3 linked regions of the Pelodiscus sinensis genome follow. The protein of the gene in region 2 purifies or fractionates together with the protein of the main gene of each other region. This does not show direct contact. Links are inferred from orthologs where the notes say so. Each region holds a gene or a part of one and is shown on either strand. Other genes may lie near its edges.

What was found.
Region 1: the proteins of MAP3K14 (region 2) and CDC37 purify together in Homo sapiens (affinity purification with mass spectrometry; 5 studies listed by BioGRID and IntAct, with this or other methods). This does not show direct contact. The link is inferred for Pelodiscus sinensis from reciprocal best matches to the Homo sapiens genes MAP3K14 and CDC37.
Region 3: the proteins of MAP3K14 (region 2) and HSP90AB1 purify together in Homo sapiens (affinity purification with mass spectrometry; 4 studies listed by BioGRID and IntAct, with this or other methods). This does not show direct contact. The link is inferred for Pelodiscus sinensis from reciprocal best matches to the Homo sapiens genes MAP3K14 and HSP90AB1.

Annotation. Positions count from the first base shown.
Region 1 is NW_027465991.1:191,811-198,935, forward strand, and holds the start of CDC37 (hsp90 co-chaperone Cdc37), read right to left. Parts: upstream 3,076-7,125; 5' UTR 3,018-3,075; coding exon 2,916-3,017; intron 1-2,915. UniProt on the Homo sapiens protein: Co-chaperone that binds to numerous kinases and promotes their interaction with the Hsp90 complex, resulting in stabilization and promotion of their activity. Inhibits HSP90AA1 ATPase activity.
Region 2 is NC_134739.1:810,929-818,322, reverse strand, and holds the start of MAP3K14 (mitogen-activated protein kinase kinase kinase 14), read left to right. Parts: upstream 1-4,372; 5' UTR 4,373-4,520; intron 4,521-5,515; exon of another isoform or gene 5,516-6,975; intron 6,976-7,394.
Region 3 is NC_134713.1:140,492,483-140,499,642, reverse strand, and holds the start of HSP90AB1 (heat shock protein HSP 90-beta), read right to left. Parts: upstream 3,076-7,160; 5' UTR 2,939-3,075; intron 2,773-2,938; coding exon 2,626-2,772; intron 2,147-2,625; coding exon 1,940-2,146; intron 1,607-1,939; coding exon 1,447-1,606; intron 986-1,446; coding exon 852-985; intron 216-851; coding exon 1-215. UniProt on the Homo sapiens protein: Molecular chaperone that promotes the maturation, structural maintenance and proper regulation of specific target proteins involved for instance in cell cycle control and signal transduction. Undergoes a functional cycle linked to its ATPase activity.

The DNA of each region.
Region 1 (7,125 bases), on a different chromosome or scaffold from region 2:
GAGCTACAGTTACGCTGTCCGGGCACTCGCGAAGCAGGGATGTACCACACTCAGAGAGTGTGGAGGGAATGTTATGGGAGACGGGGCCAGAGCGACTGTGGGGAGAATGTTACTGGGAGACGGGGCCAGAGCGACTGTGGGGAGAATGTTACTGGGAGACCGGGAGTGGATTTCTGCCAGATAGCTTCCTGGGGTCGCACCTGAGGGCAGCAAGCCCTGGGGTTTCCTCTAGGATTCACATTCCCGACTCCTGACTTTAGGTCAGTGCAGCCAGGCAGCAGCATCTCCTCAGGCAGCTCCCTCCCTGCTCTGCGCCCCAGCGTCTGTCTCTGTACTAAAGGGCTATAAATCCGCCCTTCACTGGAGAATCACAGAGCGTCCGATAACAAAAATCACAGCTATGTCAGGCTGCAAGGGAGCTTGCCAAGTCCAGGCCCTTGTGCTGAGGCAAGACCAAGTAACCCTACACTATCCCTGACAGGCACGTGGCCATCTGCTCATAACCCCTCCGACGGAGGCATCCACGTGCCCTTGGGGAGCCTAGTCCAGAGCTTAATGGCACTTTAATATGAGGAAAAAAAAAACTCGACTCCAGACAAACTCCCTGGCTGTAGATTAAGTCCCTTGCTGCTTGCCCTGCTTTCAGTGGGCACAGCGAACAGATCCACCGGCCCTTAACAGCTTGTACGACTATTATCAACCCCCCCCCCACCCCCAGTTGTCTTTTATCAAGACTAAACATGCACAGGGTTTGCAATCTCCCCTCAGAGGTCAGGTTTTCTGACCCTCCTCCTCTGAACTCTCGCCAACTTTCCTGAGGGGTCACACCCAGAAACGGACACAGGACTCCAACCGAGGCTTCCGCAGCGTCACGGAAAGCAGGACAGCTACATAAGTAAAGCTCCTGTTAACACACCCCAGCCCGATACCAGCCCTTTTGGCAACTGATCACATTGTTGGTTCATATTCAATTCGTCATCCGCTCTAATGCCCACATGCTCCCTCCATTACCCCCACCCAGCCAGCTGGTCTGTTTTGTGCTGGGCACTTCCCAGCTCCTGCCTAAATTCAGCACTTCGCACTTCTCCTTAGTCCACTTCCTCTGTTGAGTCTCTCTCCATTCTCTACGTGTCAAGGTTGTTTTGAATTCCAACGGCCATCCACAGTGCCGGCAACCCCTCTGGGCTGGATGCTATAAGGGCAGTCTATGCTCATTATCCAAGTCGTTAATGAAACTATGGAACAGGCTTGCCTCAGGACCCTGCTAGATAGTACCCCCAGTTTGACAGCAAACCACTGACTACTCTTTGAGGGCCACCGTCAACCAGTTATCTTGTGGTGATTTTATCTAGACTGCCTGTGTCAAACCCTGTACCGCTCCCCTCTGCCCTAAGCCAGCATCTGTCAACAAGGGAAATAGGTTATTTGGCAGGATCTATTGTCAACAAAACCACCGGCTCCTCCCTCTGACCCAGGCATCCTCTAGAGATACTGTTTTGTCATTTGCTCCAGAATATTTTTCAGGTACTGAAGTCCCCATATTGAAGTCCCCTATACGTACTATGCAGGATGCCTGCTTAAGGAGAAAAAACCCTCTGAGTACCTGCGAAGACAAGTTTCCAGGGGGATCGCCTCCCTTACTGAACACCCTCAACTCCTGTAGGAGTGTCTGCTCCCACACAGAAGATCTACCTGATACAGAAGCAGCAGCGTGGAGTGACCGGAGGCTCCTCGGGAGCAGGCCTGGAGCGCAGTATCCCCCCCCGGGGGACTATCAAATAGTCGAGTAACCAATAAGAATTCATGAGGTTAACTGACTATTCAATGAACTGATATTTCACATCGCTAGGCCTGATCTGACAGAACCGTGGCATGTCCCAGGGGTCTCAGGCCTAGAGGAGCCCCACCTGGGAGAGCCACTCACTAGGCTGGAGAGATCAGAGAACCGATTCATTGGCACCCAAGTCCATTTGCTATTGCTGCCCATTCCTGACTTGGAGGGAGGCTGCTCCTGGCTTGATGCCGCTCAGGGTCAGACCCAGCTTTCCCATGAGCCCTCTCCTCCAGCATCGTAGGGGTGAAAGTGGGACGCCTCCTCTGCCCCGCTGGAGGCAGGGCTGCGGGGAGAGGGCACCAACCCAGAGGGTATTGAGAAGGGACTCTAAGGAGAGACGATATGTCAGTGCTCCCCTCTCTCAACACGCCTCTGCAATCAGGTGAGGGACCCCGAGAGTTAGACGTCCTGGGGGCCCAGCCCCACTAGTGCAGGCTCCCCACGGGAAGAGCCCAAAGACAGTGGGTTGGGAGCCAGGGTGCCATTGGGATGGGAGGGGAGCCAGGCCTCAGTCGGAAGGGGGGGGCTGCCTCCAACGCAGTCCACCCAGGAGCAGAGCCTGCCCCGGGCTGGGGACTGCTGGGGCCGGCGCCTCCCGCTGGGGGCTCTACGAAAGGCCTGGGCTCGCTGAAGCCAAGGGACCCCCCGGGCAGCATCCTCTGGGCACCACGGGGGGGGGGCAGCACGTGGAGCCCGGGGCCCGCGGGCCTGTGCGAGCCCCCCCCCCCAAGCTCCTCCCCCCGCAGCCCCGGGGCCTCAAGCAGAGACTCGCACGAGCCAGTTTGCCCCCATCGCACCCTGGCTGGAGGGGCCTGGGGGGCTCCCCAGGGGCGGGGCCCGGTCGCCATGGGAACGGGGGGGCTCCCCAGGGGCGGGGCCCGGTCGCCATGGGAACGGGGGGGCTCCCCAGGGGCGGGGCCCGGTCGCCATGGGAACGGGGGGCTCCCCAGGGGCGGGGCCGGTCGCCATGGGAACGGGGGGGCTCCCCGGGGCGGGGCCGGTCGCCATGGGAACGGGGGGGCTCCCCAGGGGCGGGGCCGGTCGCCATGGGAACGGGGGGCTCCCCGGGGCGGGGCCGCACCTGGTGGCGCCAGCGGAAGAGGCTGGCCGTGTCGATGTTGGGGTGAGTCTCGTCCTCATCGTCCGACACCTCGATGTGGTCCCAGACGCTGTAATCCACCATGGCGCCACTTCTGGAACCCTCCAGCCTCCGCACGCCCACTTCCGCCCTCGCCCTGACTCACTTCCGGCGCCCGTCGGCGGGAAGGCTTCGTACGCGCAGCTGCGCGTGCGCGCCCACGCCCCGGATACGCATGCGCAGCAGCGGCTGGCGGCTCCACACGTTCAGCGGCAGGGGCACGGGGGCGCGAATTCTGGTCCAGAGGCCGTTTACTGCGCATGCGCTCCCCCTTCTGTGCTCCAAATGGCGCTTCTCTTAAAGGGCCACACACGGCCTGTGTCTTCAGGGGTCAGCGGGTTGCAGGCGCCCTACCTGCTGCGCGCGCACGCGGTGTGGGAGGGGCACGCCCAGGGTTACACGCCCCGTGGGCACCGGCCTGGCCCCCACGTGCCCCGCAGAGGCGGTACCGGGTACCCACAAAACAGCAGGGCCACGCACGGCTGGGGAGCTGCACCGTGCACCCGCTGGTGCCCCGCTCGTGCTGTTCTCACGCTCACTAGCTGGGGGCTGTTCGCACGTTTGTGGTCCCTGAAGGGGTTTGTGTTTTCAGGGCTCTCCCCACAACCCAGCGCGAGTCGGCTGAGAGTCCCCGTGTTCCGATCACTGGGGGCTGCAGACGGGGCCAGACTCCCCAGCAAATCCTGAGAAAGGGAACACGCCTCGCCCCAGCGCGTGCCGTCTGCACAGCGTCCGCTCTGTGCACCACGAGTGGGTGCCCTGCTAATCGGCTGGATGGCATTGGAATCTCTTCTGGGTGGCCACCCAAGCGCTCAGCTAACTGGGAACACTGGTCCGGAGCAGGACGTAAAAAAATGGTATAGCTCAGTATACAGCTTACACTGCACAGCCCACAGCATAGCTGGCTCCTTGGGAGCGGGTGAATGCCATGAGCCAGCTTATGCCAGCTCCGCTCCCAGGGAGCCGGCAGCCACCCCACGCTGCAGGCTCTGATTCAGAGCCAGTAGCACGGGGGGGAGTAGACACACTGAGGTTTAAATGGTCACTCACATCCCTAGTCTGAAGCCTTGTTAATGCAAAACCCAAGTCTTTCCTTAGAGCTCTGAAGTCAGCCCCCTCCAGCGATGGCTTCCCCGAGGACAGCAAGGCTGCGAACTTTGCTCCCACGCTGACAACGCCTGCATGTGTACTAGCGCTCCCTCACAACTGCTGGCTTTGCATGGTTGTGACCCTTCGTGCCAAGTTTCCCTCTGGGGCTGGAATCGTCATGTGGGGCTAAATAGTATATCTAGGCCAAGCCTCGTCGTTTTAATGGGGGAGACGCCCATTTATGTCAGCTGAGGGTCGGCCACCAGCATGGAATGTGGCGGCTGCACCCACTCCCCCAGAGGATGTAAGATGTCACTCTCAGCAGGCGCAGGATGAAAGAGAACTGCACTTACCCCTGCAACCACTGGGGGTCACCCTGACACAGAAATAGGGGTGCAGATAATCTCCTTGGCTGACCTGCCCTCAGATCCCTTCCTAATCCTAGGGTGCAGGGTTCAGACATGGCCTTGGGAGGGAAGAAACCCAAGCCCTGCTACAGGCTGGGGACCAACTGGCTAAGCAGCCGTTCTGCACAAAAGGACCTGGGGTTACAGTGGCTGAGAAGCTGGAGACGAGTCGATGGGGGGCCCTTGTGGCCCAGGCTAACGGCAGATTAGGGGCATTAGGAGGAGCGTTGCCAGCAGATCTAGAGAAGCGATTATTCCCCTTTATCCGGCTCCGGTGAGGCCTGAGGGGGAAATCTCGCTCCCCTGGGGTACAGAGCCCCCAGAAGGGTCCGAGGCTGGAGGTCAAATCAGTGAGGCAGGAGAGAAACCTAGAAGAGAAAACTTTCTGATGCATGCATGCAGGCTGTCACACCAAGAGTGAAGCAGCCCTGACAGACAGATTCAGGGAATCTTTATACAGTAAGTTCAGACAGCCCAGTTGTGGATTGTTCTTCTTTAACATATCAAAGTCTCAGCAGAAGCACTCTGAGACTTCTGTTCACCCCAGGAGTGCTAGAAGTAAGTTTTACAGAACAAAGCCACATGAGAACGTGAGTGGAGGAGTCTACAAGGCAAACCGTGACAAAGATAAGGGTTTACATGACAAATTGTGACAGACTAGGAGTATCCATGAACTTGAGACAGGAGGCATTGGAAGGGTCTTGATTAGAGCTAATTTGATTTCTCTCTGTTACAGGGAGAGAGGCCTGGAAAACTTTGTAACCCTTCCAGCAGTTTTCTTTTAGAGTTTTGATTTCCTGCACAGTCCCCCCTTAGACACAATTGGAGTTATTTGATTTTTCTCCCACAGGCCACACCTGGAGTGTTGCGTTCTGGGCCCCCCCACTATACAAAGGGTGTGGACGCATTGGAGAGGGTCCAGTGGAGGGCGACCAAAATGATGAGGGGGCTGGAGCATGTGGCCTACGAGGAGAGGCCGAGGGATTTGGGCTTGTTTAGTCTGCAGAAGAGAAGAGCGAGGGGGGATCCTGGTAGCCACCGTCCAGGGTTCCAGGGAGGCTGTTCCCCGTGGGGCGGGTGGCAGAACGAGGAGCGATGGGCTCACGTTGCAGTGGGGGCTCTAGGTTGGAGATTAGGACAAACTTTCCCCAGGCGGGTGGGGAAGCGCTGGGCTGGGTCCCTAGGCAAGGGGGGAATCTCCATCCCTAGAGGGTTTTAAATCCCAGCTTGGCAGAGCCCTGGCTGGGATGATGGAGTCGGGGTTGGGCTTGATGCCTCCAGAGGGCTCTTCCCGCCCTGGGATCCTAGGTGCTTCCCAATGAGACTGGCGCAGGCTCTGTGGACTCACTGCCCGAGATGCAGAGGTGGAGCCCTGGCCCGGCCTGGAACGGCCTTTTCCTGCTGAGCTCCGGGTGCGACCCGGCTGTCCTTACGCAGCGGGAAATCCCACCCCCAGCGCAGGCCCTGGTGCCTCAGGCTGCCCATCTCCGCTGCTCACCCGCCCTGGTCCCAGGCTGCTGGCCCAGTGAGCTGCTGCTTGGGCGTCCGGCCTCGCGCTGGGAGCAGGGACGCTGCCTCCCCCGCCCCCCTTCCAGAGACGGGGCGGCTGGGCTGGGCTACATGCAGGCAGGCAGAGGGCGAGTGGAATGACGGGGGGGGGGGGGCGGTTCTGAGAGTGGGAAGATCGGAGGGGGAGGGACATCCTGCCGGCTCCCAAAGAAACGTGGCCTGCGCGCTGCAGTGGGGGGTAGCAGAAGCCTCCGGTGAGGCTCTAGCAGCCCTGGCTCCGCTCATGGCCTGCCAGGTGACCTCAGGCCAGTCACTGCCCCGCTGCCTGCCTCGGTTTCCCCCTCAGTAAAATAGGGGTATGACCGTGGCCTGCTTGGCCGTGCCCTTCGGGAGCTACACAGGAGCGAGGGGTGTGGAGCAGCCCTGCAGAATGCCCGGCGGGCTCAGGGTGGTGTTACCCTGCTGACCTTGCTGGGGGAAGCTACCCTGAAACGGCTCACACCCATCCCCCTGCTCGATCCCAGCCAGCCTCTTCTCCCTTCTGAACTGCCGGCTGCCGCCTCCCTCCGGGCCCTGCCCCCCTTTGAGCGCAGCAGGCCTGGCTCCGAGGTACTGAGCACGAGGGACAGCATGGGGGTGCAAGCCCCCCATGTGCTCCCCGGAGCCCCAGTGTAGGCTGCAGCAGCTGCGGGGTGCCCCAGCACCCTGCCTCCAGGTGGGCGCAGCAAGCCCAGCCGAGCCACAGCTGCAGAGGTCCCTGCATGGGGGGCCACTCTAGGGGTGCACCCCCGCCCTGCGGCCCGATGGAGCCAGGGCAGGCATGGGCTTTGGCACACAGCAGCGATCCCATAGGTCTGTGCCAGACTGGCCCCCGGGTGCGTGACCTCATCACCGTCTCCATGGCGAGGAGCTGTGATGTCATACCTGCAGGCTGCGCCCCTCCCTTGCGTCTAAACGGCCAGCCGCCCCTCCTCACAACAAGGCTGCCGTTGGGTCCCGGGCCCAGGCTCTGCCCTGCCTCCAGTGCCAGGAGCAAGGAGAACGCGGCGCGGAGACCGGCTGCCGGCTCTGGGACTTGACACTCAGGCAGCCGCCGTCGGAGCCGGGAGAAGGAAAACGCCCTGCCCTGGTTCTCTGCACGCGGGCGC
Region 2 (7,394 bases):
CATGGATATGCAACCACATTTAAGTTGCAGCCCTTGCCATGTGCTATGAGTATCACTGTGGCCCCCAGGGCTTCCAAAGTTGAGTAGCCCTGATTTAAAGGATAGGTTACAAACCATAGTTAATAGTTCTGCAATTTCACATTTGAGTTCTTTCAGAACTCTTGGGTGAATGCCATCTGGGCCTGGTGACTTGTCACTGTTAAGTTTATCGATTTGTTCCAAAACCTATTCTAATGATACCTTAAACTGGGACAATTCCTCAGATTTGTCACCTAAAAAGAATGGCTCAGGTTTGGGAATCTCCCTAACAGCCTCATTTGTGAAGACCAAACCAAAGGATTCATTTAGTTTCTCCGCAAGGACCTTATTGTCTTTGAGTGCTCCTTTAGCAACTTGATCGTCCAGTGGTTTCACTGGGGCTACGTCTACACTGGCATGAATTTCCGAAAATGCTTTTAACGGAAAAGTTTTCTGTTAAAAGCATTTTTGGAAAAGCACATCTAGATTGGCAGGATGCTTTTCCGCAAAAACACTTTTTGTAGAAAAGCGTCCGTGGCCAATCTAGACGTGGTTTTCCGCAAAAAAGCCCCGATCGCCATTTTCGTGATTGGGGCTTTTTTGTGGAAAACAGTTCTGTGATGTCTACACTGGCTCTTTTGCGCAGAAGTCTTTCGGAAAAAGACTTTTGCCCGAACGGGAGCAGCATAGTATTTCCGGAAAAGCACTGATGATTTTACAAGAGGTCGTCAGTGCTTTTCCGGAAATTCAAGCGGCCAGTGTAGACAGCTGGCAAGTTTTTCCACAAAAACAGATGATTTTGTGGAAAAACTTGCAGTCTAGACACAGCCTGGTTGTTTACCGAGCTTCTTGCTTCTGATGTACTTAAAAACATTTTGCTATTACTTATTGAGATTTTGGCTAGCTGTTCTTCAAACTCCTTTTTGGATTTCCTTATTAATTTGGCAGAGTTTTTGTTCCTTTTTATTTTCCTCGCTAGGATTTAATTTCCACTTTTTAAACAATGTCTTTTTATCTCTCACTGCTTTTTTTACTTGGTTCTTAAGCCATAGCGACACTTGGTTCTCTTATTGTGTTTTTAATTTGAGGTATAAATTTAAGTTGAGAGACTATTTCGGTGTCTTTGAAAAGTCTCCGTGCAAAGTTTGCAGGGATTCTACTTTTGGCATTGGACCTTTTTAATTTCTGTTTAACTAACCTCCTCATTTTTGTGTAGTTTCCCTTTCGGAAATTAAATGCTACAGTGTTGGGCTGCTGAGGTGTTTCTTACCCCACAGGGATGTTACATTTTATTACATTATGGTCACTATTTCCAAGAGATCCACCTGTTTGGATCAAATCCTGTGCTCCACTTAGGGCTAAATCAAGAATTGCCTCTTCTCTTGTGGGTTCCAGAAACAGCTGCTTCAAGAAGCCGTCATTGAAGGTGTCAACAAATTTTCTCTCTGCATCCCGTCCTTAGGCAATGTGTACCCAGTCAATATGGGATAGATGAAATCCCGCACTATTATTTTTATTTTTACAGCCTCTCTAATTTCCCTTAGCAAAAGAATATAGCAGTGGGGATATATTACCGACCACCTGACCAGGACAGTGATAGTCACTATCACTTCCTGGTCAGTAGGGTTGCCAGATGGTTTCAACAAAAATACTGGATACACTTGACATTACATCACAATCTACATTACATCTTATTTAGAAAATACCCGACATTTCTATTTTCTCAATTTGTTTCCTGAACAGAAAGCTCAAATACTGGACTGTCTGGTTGAAAACCGGACACCTGGCAACCCTACTGGTGAGGTGGTCAGTAATATATCCATATTGCTATATTCTTCTCATCAGAGCATGGAATTACTTCCTATAGCGATTCTATGGAACATTTAGGCTCATTTCAGATTTATCCCTCATTTGATTCTACATTTTCTTTCACGTATAATACCACTCCCTCACCCACACGACGTGTTGTGTCCGATAGATGTTGTTCCCTGGTATGACGGTCACGTTGCTTGTCTTGTTCCAAGTTTCTGTGATGCCTGTTATATCAATATCCTCCTTTGCAACGAGGCACTCCGGTCCACCCATTACTGGGTGCGTAGAAGCACATTAACGGTGTGTCCCTACTTTGCGGCCAGGCAACGCCGCGAAGCACGTTGACGGCGTGTCCCTACTTAGCGGCCGGGCGACGCCACGAAGCACGTTGACGGCGTGTCCCTACTTAGCGGCCGGGCGACGCCGCGAAGCCCGTTGACGGCGTGTCCCTACTTAGCGGCCGGGCGACGCCGCGAAGCCCGTTGACGGCGTGTCCCTACTTAGCGGCCGGGCGACGCCGCGAAGCCCGTTGAAGGCGTGTCCCTACTTAGCGGCCGGGCGACGCCGCGAAGCCCGTTGACGGCGCGTCCCTACTTAGCGGCCGGGCGACGCCGCGAAGCCCGTTGACGGCGCGTCCCTACTTAGCGGCCGGGCGACGCCGCGAAGCACGTTGACGGCGCGTCCCTACTTAGCGGCCGGGCGACGCCGCGAAGCACGTTGACGGCGCGTCCCTACTTAGCGGCCGGGCGACGCCGCGTAGCACGTTGACGGCGCGTCCCTACTTAGCGGCCGGGCGACGCCGCGAAGCACGTTGAAGGCGCGTCCCTACTTAGCGGCCGGGCGACGCCGCGTAGCACGTTGAAGGCGCGTCCCTACTTAGCGGCCGGGCGACGCCGCGAAGCACGTTGACGGCGCGTCCCTACTTAGCGGCCGGGCGACGCCGCGAAGCACGTTGACGGCGCGTCCCTACTTAGCGGCCGGGCGACGCCGCGAAGCACGTTGACGGCGCGTCCCTACTTAGCGGCCGGGCGACGCCGCGAAGCACGTTGACGGCGCGTCCCTACTTAGCGGCCGGGCGACGCCGCGAAGCACGTTGACGGCGCGTCCCTACTTAGCGGCCGGGCGACGCCGCGAAGCACGTTGACGGCGCGTCCCTACTTAGCGGCCGGGCGACGCCGCGAAGCACGTTGACGGCGCGTCCCTACTTAGCGGCCGGGCGACGCCGCGAAGCACGTTGACGGCGCGTCCCTACTTAGCGGCCGGGCGACGCCGCGAAGCACGATGACGGCGCGTCCCTACTTAGCGGCCGGGCGACGCCGCGAAGCACGTTGACGGCGCGTCCCTACTTAGCGGCCGGGCGACGCCGCGAAGCACGTTGACGGCGCGTCCCTACTTAGCGGCCGGGCGACGCCACGAAGCACGTTGACGGCGCGTCCCTACTTAGCGGCCGGGCGACGCCGCGTAGCACGTTGACGGCGCGTCCCTACTTAGGGGCCGGGCGACGCCGCGAAGCACGTTGACGGCGTGTCCCTACTTAGGGGCCGGGCGACGCCGCGAAGCACGTTGACGGCGCGTCCCTACTTAGGGGCCGGGCGACGCCGCGAAGCCCGTTGACGGCGCGTCCCTACTTAGCGGCCGGGCGACGCCGCGAAGCCCGTTGACGGCGTGTCCCTACTTAGGGGCCGGGCGACGCCGCGAAGCACGTTGACGGCGTGTCCCTATTTAGGGGCCGGGCGACGCCGCGAAGCCCGTTGACGGCGTGTCCCTACTTAGGGGCCGGGCGACGCCGCGAAGCACGTTGACGGCGTGTCCCTACTTAGGGGCCGGGCGACGCTGTGAAGCCGAACGGGGCACATGGGCCTGGGCGGGCAGGCCCCCGAAGGGCAGCTCGCCAGCGGGAGGAACACCACGCCCTGAGGGCTCGGCCCCCCGCCCACCCTGCGCAGCCCCTGGCCCGAGCCTGCCTGGCCGGACTAGGGGCGTTAAGCCTGCCTGAGGGGAGGCGGGCGCTGCTGCTCTGGAGAACCCCAGGGCTGTGTAGCTTCCAAGGGGGCGACCCCGGCCCCCCCGCCTCTTTCTGACAGATGGGGGAGCGACTAGCGAGGCGCCCCGCCGGCGCAAGCAGCAGTTGCTGGGCAGGGCGGCACAGGCCGGACGCGCCTGAGAGGATAATGGCGGGAAGCTCGAGGCCACCGCCGGGCTAACGGCCCCCCCGCGCATGCGCGCGGCGGGCGCTCGAAGCCGGGGACTAAACCTTCCACCTGCGCCCGCGCATCGCAAACGCCACATGTCCCGCCTCCCACGCGCGGGCCGACTGCGCACGCGCATTCCGGCGAGTTCCGCCGCGCCTGGAGGGGGAAGGGAAAAGGCTTTCGAGAAGCCCCGCCCATTTCTGGGAAACCACAGGCCCCCTCTGTCCAATGAAAGCCGAGAGCCGGGGCGGCGGAAGAAGCGACCCTGCGGCAGCGCTGCCGACGGGGAGGAGCGAGGCTGCAAGGAGCACGCGCGCGGATTGGTTCTAGGGAGGCAGGGGGCGTGGCTACGATGCCTGGCAGGCCGGTTGGGCGGGGCCGAGGCGGCGGGGGCGGGGCCAGGCAGGTGCTGGGGCAGATGCGGCCCGAGCTCCCCAGGCGCCGTGGAGGGAGCCTGAGGCCTGCGCCGCGCCCGAGGCCCCGCACGGACCGGAGCGGGTAGGTGGGCGCGCGCCGGCCGCTTGGCCCCTCCCCGCGGCGCGCGACCCCGTTACTCGCCGCCCGGCCGGGTCCTACCGCTCCCCCCGCGGCTCCGGCCGAGCCCGCCCGGCGGCCGGCTCCTGTAGGGGGCGCTGGCTCCCCGCCGCCTCGGGGGCGCGTCGAGGGGGAGGTGCTGTGAAATGGGGGGAGTGGGGGCGCGTCGAGGGGGTGGGGCTGTGAAATGGGGGGAGTGGGGGCGCGTCGAGGGGGTGGGGCTGTGAAATGGGGGGAGTGGGGGCGCGTCGAGGGGGTGGGGCTGTGAAATGGGGGGAGTGGGGGCGCGTCGAGGTGGTGGGGCTGTGAAATGGGGGGAGTGGGGGCCCATCGAGGGCGTGGGGCTGTGAAATGGGGGGACTGGGGGCGCGTCGAGGGGGTGGGGCTGTGAAATGGGGGGAGTGGGGGCCCGTCGAGGGGGTGGGGCTGTGAAATGGGGGGAGTGGGGGCCCGTCGAGGGGGTGGGGCTGTGAAATGGGGGGAGTGGGGGCCCGTCGAGGGGGTGGGGCTGTGAAATGGGGGAGAGTGGGGGCGCGTCGAGGGGGAGGGGCTGTGAAATGGGGGAGAGTGGGGGCGCGTCGAGGGGGTGGGGCTGTGAAATGGGGGAGAGTGGGGGCCCGTCGAGGGGGGTGGGGCTGTGAAATGGGGGGAGTGGGGGCCCGTCGAGGGGGTGGGGCTGAGAAATGGGGGAGCTGGGGGGCGCGTCGAGGGGGGTGGGGCTGTGAAATGGGGGGAGTGGGGGCCCATCGAGGGGGTGGGGCTGTGAAATGGAGGGTCTGGGGGGCGCGTCGAGGGGGGTGGGGCTGTGAAATGGGGGGGAGTGGGGGCCCATCGAGGGGGTGGGGCTGTGAAATGGGGGGGCTGGGGGGCGCGTCGAGGGGGGTGGGGCTGTGAAATGGGGGGCTGGGGGCCCGTCGAGGGGGGTGGGGCTGTGAAATGGGGGGGCTGGGGTCTTAGGCAGTCCCATGCAATAGTAACCCCTAGTCTCTGAGGGGCAAGAGCAAGCCAATCAGTGTTCATATTTACCACCCTAGTGTGAGCATTGCCCTGTTGGGCTCCTTGGCTCCCTTTCCATCCAGATGTAGCTTCCACGTGTCAGCTCTAGAATTCAGTTGTTTAAAATGTGTTAAACAGTAAAACTGCTGTTAACTTTCTAAAGTGAGGATACCAGAAATCTGAGCTGTTTCTGGTCATAAATTGACTTCCTCTCTTAGAACCTTCTGCTGGGAAGCATCAGCAAAGGCTATTTGAACTTGGGTTGATTTAGTTGGGATTGGTCCTGCCTTGAGCCAGGAGGCTGGACTTGATAACCTCCTGAGGTCTTTTGCAGCTCTGATTCTATGAACTTGTTAAACTAAAATAAGAGAGTCTTCGTTTCTGACATGAATGGTTTTGATAGCAACATCTGATACCTAGTATGTTTTGAAAATAACAATGAAATAAGGTATTAGCAAAACATCAGCTTTATTCAGTGGAATACTGAAAGAGTGGCAGATTTGGATGTGTATGATAACTTTAACTATTTAGTTAAGGTATGATAGCTGAACTCTGTTTTGTTCCTTTGATTTCTACTAGTGTGTTGTGCAGCCTAAACATCTTCACATTGTTAACGTTATGTGAAGTATTTCAGCAAATTAACAATTATTTTGTGAAACATTCTTGAACATAGCAGAGTATTCCTAAGTGATCTCATTACTGACTAATATGTATCTTCAGCCTAGAATTCAGTTGAACTTGCTCTTTCTTTTCCATGTGTTCCTATAGTAGCTTCAGAGGAGGCCTAAAGAGACACTTTTAGCCCAGATGGTATCTTTCTACTAATGAACAGACTTTTTTCCTTTTTGATTTGGGGGAGGGGGGATAACTTACTTCTGCCTGCTTTCTGCTTCTTTACAGCAAAAAAGCATTCCTAATAAGTTAGGAGAGTAAACAGCAGACTTTTGCTGTTTTGATTAGGAGTTGCTAGGTGCAGATCTGCAAAAGCTATCCTTTACAGTGGGGGAGGAGAGAAAAAGGCAGAGACCTTGATCAGCCAATCAAAATATACAAGTGAATAAGATCTGGAGTTCAGTTTAACTGCCTGTTTACTCACTACTCATTATCTGACCATCACTTCTCTTTAAAACAACTTTTTTTGGCAAAAGGTTAAAATACTGCTTTGCTGATTAATAAGTCACTGCTGTGGTTGATTTCAGATGCTTCCTGTCTGCTTCATCTTAATATCAGTTAAGCTGGAAACATACGTGCACGAATTGAAAGTGGCAGCTTGACACATCTTGCAAATTGCTTTTTAAATAGGATTTCTGAGCCCTTGTATGAGTGATAATTCTTCTTTGTTTATCCACAGTGTGAGTCTGCAGATGAAATTAGGGTTAGAAGACATCCAAGTTACTCTAAGCATCATAAGGGCTATACATAGGTATATACATTTAACTATCTTAAATCTAGTGGCTGTGCAGTTGTTATAATTGATTGCACATGTAAAAAGTTGAATTACTAAGTGATTGTTGTCATGAAAAGCTGAGTCTCTGAATATCATACTGTTACTTTAACCTTATTAATAGCAACAGCTGAGTGGAAGGAGAGGTCAGTCAATTTTGTACACATTTGTTGGTATTCTTAACTTTTGCATTTAGCATGGTGATGGTGCTTTAGAAATATCTAAATGTCTCAACTTAAGTTGAAATTGTTTGCTATAAATCTTTAAAATATTGCTGTTTGATTAATAGTATTTTTCTCAGATTGGACAGTGAAACTAAATGAGTTAGTTTAGCTTTCTGGGTCTTGTTCACTATTGTGATGATGTGTTTGGGGTTCACAAGGTAAGGGGAATGTTTA
Region 3 (7,160 bases), on a different chromosome or scaffold from region 2:
ATGGGCTTTGTCTTGTTCAGCTCCTCCTGGTCAATGTATTTCTCCTTGATCTTCTTGGTCTTCTTCTTCTTGCCCTTACCACCCTCCTCTTCCTCCTCATCTGAGCCCACGTCCTCTATCTTGGGCTTCTCATCCTTGGGGGCTGTGTCCTCATCCTCTTTCTCCTCCTTCTCTTCCTCATCGTCACTGATTTCCTTTTCCCGCTCTTTCTCCAGCTGTAGGAAGAGGTAGAAAGACGGCCGTGGCAAAGACAACTAGCTTACTCAGGGCCTCCTATTTGCAGAAGATCAGGGCAGTGACAAACACCATAGCCCCAAGGGAGGTAGGTGTCCTACTAAGCTAAACATTGCCGTGATGCACGGCACATAAAGCACTGGTTCACATTTTGCAAATGGTGCCTTTCAGTGGCTGGGACAACCAAGAGGATAAGGAACCATGGCCACCCCCAGCTGGTTGAGACCTCCCATAGCTCATGCACTAGAGGCCCAAACAAGAGGAGACAGAGGGCTGGAATTCCAGCCCCACCCCCTCACCAGGTAGGGGAGGTGCTGGCCCAAAGCACCGGCATGGATTTTAGGGATGTGAGTTTGATAGAACAGTATACCCCTTCTGTGATACCCTCCCCCTAGAGGCAGTGAGCTAGTTTCCACTCGTACCATTCTTCTGGCCAACTCCTTAGCAGCAGGATGAGTGCCCAGCTCTTGCCTTCACCCATCACAGTCTCTTACATACACACACGGGGGGATAGGAAGGCTCAAGGCAGAATGTACCAATCTCTCCCCAGTCTCAGCCTGGGCCTCTCCCATGTTCTATCTGTCCTTCTCATGGGTCCTGCCATCTCACATACGTACGTAAAGGGTGATGGGGTAGCCAATGAACTGTGAGTGCTTCTTCACCACCTCCTTGACCCGCCGTTCCTCCAGGTACTCTGTCTGATCCTCCTTCAAGTACAGGATCACCTTGGTGCCGCGCCCGATGGGCTCACCTGTGGCACCAGGAGAGAGGCTGTGGCATTACCGCTGGACAGAGCTCACTGGAGATCTCATGTCAATGGCAGGTGCAGCCCACCGCTAAACTAAAGGGAGGATCATCACAGTGTTTCTAATGGGAGCCAAGGTCATGAGAAAGTAGGGCAGATGCACTGCTAGTACTGAGCCTGCACCAAGCTTAAACCATGGCTTTGGTTAGCATTGAGAGTAGCCTTCTCCTCTTGCACCTACAGGATAGCCCTGAGACCTAACCCAAGATGACAGGTTACTTTCACCTTCACACACAACCCTGCGACCTTCTCCCCCCGTGATTGTTTCACCACCAGTAGCAGTTAAGGCTACAACACCTCACCCCCCCCCCCATATCATCGACCCTCTCAAAGCCATGGGACCCCATGGAAGATAGAGAGGAGAGGGGCAGCTGGTTCCTTGCAAGCCCCATCTCCACAGTACATACCATGATCAGTTTTAACAGTGAAGGAGCCCCCAGCTGATGACTCCCAGGCATACTGCTCATCATCATTGTGCTTGGAGATGACCACCACCTTTTCAGCCACCAGATAGGCGGAGTAGAAGCCCACACCAAACTGCCCAATCATGGAGATGTCAGCACCAGCCTGCAGAGGGAAGGAGACAGAATGAGAAGATCAGGACACCAGAAATCGGCGATGTCTGTCAGGTGTGTTCCAGTAGCAGGGAACTGGGCCAATGCACAGTAGAGACAGGGATAGGGCAGGGCCCCGCCACCTTCTCTATGTGCAGGAGGGAGCAGGGAAACACGTGGGCAAGCCAAGAGCACTCTATGCTGCTCCCTGGGAGGATGCGGACCCAGAAGGCGACTGTCCCTCCAGCAAACACTGAGTGTTGAAGCTGTAAGGCCCTATGAAGGACACGAGCCCAGGAGGTGCCCAGGCCCACACGCTCTTGTGCCCGGACTCAAGACTACTCACCTGAAGGGCTTCCATGAAGGCTTTAGTACCAGACTTGGCAATGGTGCCCAGGTTGTTGATGAGGTCGGCCTTTGTCATACCGATGCCTGTGTCTACCAGAGTCAGGGTGCGGTCCCGGGGGTTTGGGATGATGTCAATTTTTAGCTCTTTGCCACTGTCTAGCTTTGAGGGATCTGTCAGGCTCTCATAACGGATCTTGTCCAGGGCCTGGAGGAGAAGAGTGAAGGTTTGCAAGGCCCAGTTACTATTCACCTACCTGCTCCTTGGATCTCGTCCTCTGCCTGCTCTGGAGAGGAAGGGGAGCATGACACACACCCCCAACAAAGGGCCTGGGCTCACTCAAACCCCTCCAAGGGGTAAAACACAAGGCCCTGCATGAGAGCAGCACTGTGGATACCCCATCGGAGCAACACACAGGCCAGAGATGGGCTCACCCCACCCCACCCCCAGGAAGAGAGAATCCCTGCAGACCAACGGGTGACGCTGGATGCCGCCTCCATGCCCGCTCCCCCAAGGGCAGCGGGGCAAACCCGCCCTGGGCTGTGGCTCCCCTGCGCCAGGGAGGCTGGCGGGGGAGGGACGCCGAGGGGATTCCCAAGGGCGGGCGCCGCTGGCGAAGGCCGTTAGCGCGCGCGGCCCGGGCTGGCCCAAGGGCAGGCGGGGGGGGGGGGGGGGGGGGGGCTCACGTCGGAGGCGTTGGAGACGAGCTCGCGCAGGAAGATCTCCTTGTTGGAGTAGAAGGTGTTGATGATGAGCGACATGAGCTGCGCGATCTCGGCCTGGAAGGCGAAGGTCTCCACTTCCTCCTCGCCATGCTGCGCGGCTTCCGGCATCTGCAACGCGGACAGCCCGCATCAGCGCGCGCCCGACCGGTCAACGGCACCGGCCGCGCGGCCCGGCCCCGCGAGCCGCCCCCCCGCCGCGCTCAACATGGCAGCGCCCGGCGGCGCCACGTGCCCCCCCCCCCTCCCCAGCCGAGCCCGCCCGCCCCGCCTTTACCGTGATGGGCTGGGGTTCGGGCAGGAGCGAGCTCAGTCCCTGCTACTGGCGCTGCGGTGCGGCCGGGAGAAAGAAGCCGGCACCCCCTCCGCCAGCCTTATATAGGGGCTGAGCCCGGCCCCTGGATCCCTCCGCCTTAAAAGGGCCACGCTGGGTCTTGCGGGGCCCATGATTGCTGTGGATCCTGGTACTTTCTCTTTTCCCACCGCGCTCATACTCCCCAGTTCCCTCAATACCCGGGAAGCTCCTTATACCCCGCTACTCTGTCACCCTACTTTTGAGCTATCTCCTGCTACCATGTCATCCCACTATTGAAAAAAATTAAAAAACAACAAATAGTCCTGCAGCACTTAGAGACTAACAAACCATGCAGAGGAGCTGTGGGCACAGCCCAGTTCTTCAGATGGATGGAGCAAGGGGTCCAGAGGTACAAATAAATAGCAGAAAAAGAGGTGATGGGGAGGGAAAGAGAAGGGGGAAAATTGTCAATTAGAGTGTCCTGCTAAACCAGGCTAACTTCCATGCAAGACACATTTCTCAATCAACTGTTTACAGCCAGGCCCTACGATAAAGCTGGATTTGCTCCAATCTCACAGACAGAGACAAACACCTACAGAGTCTCTATCAGGCATTCTTAAAACTGAAATACCCACCAGGGAAATGAAAAAAACAGATTGACAGAGCCAGACAAGTACTCAGGCATCGGCTTCTTCAAGATAGACCCAACAAAGAAAACAAGACACCATTTAAACCATAGACCCCAACTTAAACCCCTCCAACGCATCATCAACCATCTACAACCTATCCTGGAAAATGACCCCTCACTCTCACAGGCCTTGGGGGATAAGCCAGTCCTCAAATATAGACAACCCCCTAACCTCAAACAAATTCTCTCCTGTAACCACGCAGCACACCTCCATCATACTCATCCAGGAATGCACCCCTGCAATCAACTCCAGCGCCAGCTCTGTCCACACATCTATGCAAGCCAGCAGATCCAGAGATGTGATTATTCCCCTTTATTCAGCTCTGGTGAAGCCATATCTGGAGTATTGTGTCCAGTTCTGGACCCCCCACTACGAAAAGGATGTGGACGCATTGGAGAGGGTCCAGCGGAGGGCAACCAAAATGATTAGGAGGCTGGAGCATATGACCTATAAGGAGAGGCTGAAGGAGTTGGGTCTGTTTAGTCTGCAGAAGTGAAGAGTGAGGGGGGATTTGATAACAGCCTTCAACTTCCTGAAGGGAGGTTCCAAAGAGGATGGAGAGAGGCTGTTCTCATTAGTGACAGGTGGCAGAACAAGAAGCAATGATCTCAAGTTATGGTGGGAGAGATCCAGGTTGGATATTAGGAAAAACTATTTCACTAGGAGAGTGGTGAAGTGCTGGAATGGCTTACCTAGGGAAGTAGTGGAGTCTCCATCCCTAGAGGTGTTTAAGGCTTGACAAAGCCCTGGCTGGGTTGATTTAGTTGGGATTGGTCCTGTCTAGACCAGGGGGGTGGACTTGACCTTCTGAGGTCTCTTCCAGCTCTATGGTTCTATGATTCTATGATAAGCAACATCATCACAGGACCTAACCACATAAGCCACCACATCAGAGGCTCATACAACTGCACATCCACTAATGTGATTTGTGTCAGCAATGCCTGTCTGCCATGTACATTAGCCAAACTGGACAGTCTCTATGACAAAGGATTAATGGACACGAATCAGATACTCAAAATGGAAACATACAGAAACCCGTTGGGGAACATTTTTTCCTGACCAGGCAGTCACTAATAGATCTCAAAGTGACCATCCTGTTACAAAGCAATTTAAAAAACCAGCTGGAAAGAGAAGCTGCAGAAATCACCTTCATCTGCAACTTTGACACCTTTAACCAAGGTCTGAACAAAGACGTTACTTGGATGGGGCACTACATTCAACACCCTAATGACATTACAAGTTAAGTATTGGGCATTTATAGCCCACTCAATTAGCCTCATTTAGCACAGACACTGTAATTGATAATTCCCCCCCTTTCCTTTCCCTCCCCAGCCCCTCTTTTTCTGCTATTTATTTGTAACTCTGGACCAGTGTTCCCTCTAAAGTGCATGACCGCACACAAACAATTCTAACCCAACCCACCTCCTTCACAGAGCAGTACAGCAGCACTCACCTTCCTGCTGAATCTGGAAGGTGAGTGGTGTGGCTGCTCCCAGAACCGGGGCCCCCGTGGCAGGGTAGGCCCTGGGCTGTATCAGAGGGTGGCTGCTGCCAGAGCCAAGGCCACAAGGTGGGTGGGTTGCTGCTCTAGGGGTCAGAACCACGGGTGTGTTGCTGCGCTGGGGGTTAGAGCTCTGTGGGTCGATGGTTTGCTGCCTCCGGGGTTGGGGCCATGGCTGGGTGGATTACTGCTATCAAGGGCTGGGGCCATGGACAGGTGGGTTGCTACGCCATCAGAGCTGCAGGCGGGCGGGTTGCTGCCACCGGGAGTCAGGGCTGTGGCCGTGTGGTGGCCAGGCTGGTTGCTGTTGCTGGGATACTTAGGCCCCAGTTCTGCCAGCACAGATTTCTTTGCTCACACAATCAGATTGATGTCCCTTTGCATGTTGAGACCTTCCTTAACCATAGGTCTGATGAAAATTTGTCACCTTTTTCTTACTCATCTGGAATTAGCCACTGCCAGAGGCAGGATGCCAGACTGGGTGAACCATTAATTTCTACCTCTTAAAAGGAAAATATCTGGGTTTTGCTGTGTTTTGTTTTAAACTAGATGAAAGGAGAAATAACAGAGAAAAAAATAGTGTAAAATGAGAGTGTTTTGGAAATGTCTTTATTTTAAATAAGGAAAGGAAAGAAAAAAAAAAGTCCTGGTAGGTAAACAATCAATAGCAGCATATTTATAACATTGTGGTTTTTTTTTATTTTAGCCATTCAATTTGTTTTTAAGTGAACAGTTCTGGGGAAAAGGCAGAGACTAATATTAAAAACAAATACTGAAGAGTTCTGTGCCTAAGCGAATATTTCTACACAATGAAGCTTTAGAGTTGCCTACTTGGTCCATGGACTCCCACCTTGCACCTGTGAAGTCTTGCGGCAATTGTCCCAAAAGAGTTTGGACGGACCCCATGAAATGATTGTCCCATGTTCTTTCCCTCCCCTGCCCTTGGCAGCTCTCAGGCATTTACCCCATGGAAACTCATGTAGTGAGAGAAATTCCAGAGTGATGCAAGGGATCAAATTGCCCTATCATGTTTTGGGGGGGAGCAGCCACACTCTCCCTGCTTGTGTTGAGGGATAATACTTAGGACTGGTCTCTGTGGGGTTTTTGTATTGCTGTCATCTTATTGGTTTAGAAACCAACAGAGTTTAATCAGAGCAACCTTTCTAACGTGGACAACATTATAAACAGAGTAGAAGCAAGAAAAAAAGCCTTCTTGCCCTTGGCTTATGGTAGGTTTGCAAGCTCACAGTACCCACCTGCTTTCCACCCACCATTATCTTCTTGCTCCCCATTATCCAGCAGGGGCTGGGGAGGATGGGGGACAGTTTTAAAATGGGGGAAGCCCTGGGAAATGCCTATTGTTCTCAACACCCCATTTCCAAGATGCAGCCTTAGGGATGGCCTAGGCATGGGCTTTTTGCACCAGTATAACTAACCAATTGGTAGGTAACCTGGGGAAACCCCTCATGCAGCTACATGTAATGTAAACCACTGTAATTCATGCTCAAACTGGGCCTGCTCCACACTAAAACGTTAGGTTGACCTAGGTTCCATCAAACACCAAAGCAATACATCCAGGAGCAACTGGGAGAAGCCACTTCCTCTCCAGCCCAGCCCAGGAGGCTGGGGCCACAAGAAAAAACCCCTGGTGGACACATTTGCCCTAAGTGGTGCCATGGGGTGGAGGACAGAGCTGCAGGCAATGCATCCAATGAAACTTAATTCCATGACAAACTATAATCAGGTGCCGGAGGGAGATCCCTGCAGTATTGCTGGCAAAGAGGGAGGAAGTCAGAGCTCTGAGACAACCCTTACACCAAGCCACCCTGAGAGGTCCAAACGGGTTCATCAAGGAGCTGGGACCAGAGGTTTTTATGGAGTCAGGTAGCTGATCGACATCAGCCTCATTTTCCCCTCCTCCCTTTCTCTTGTTTGTTTTGGAAACAGGCGCTTAAGGCGATTGCAAACAAAGAGGGGATGAGGGAAAGAGACGGGCAGGCTGCAAGCACACGGC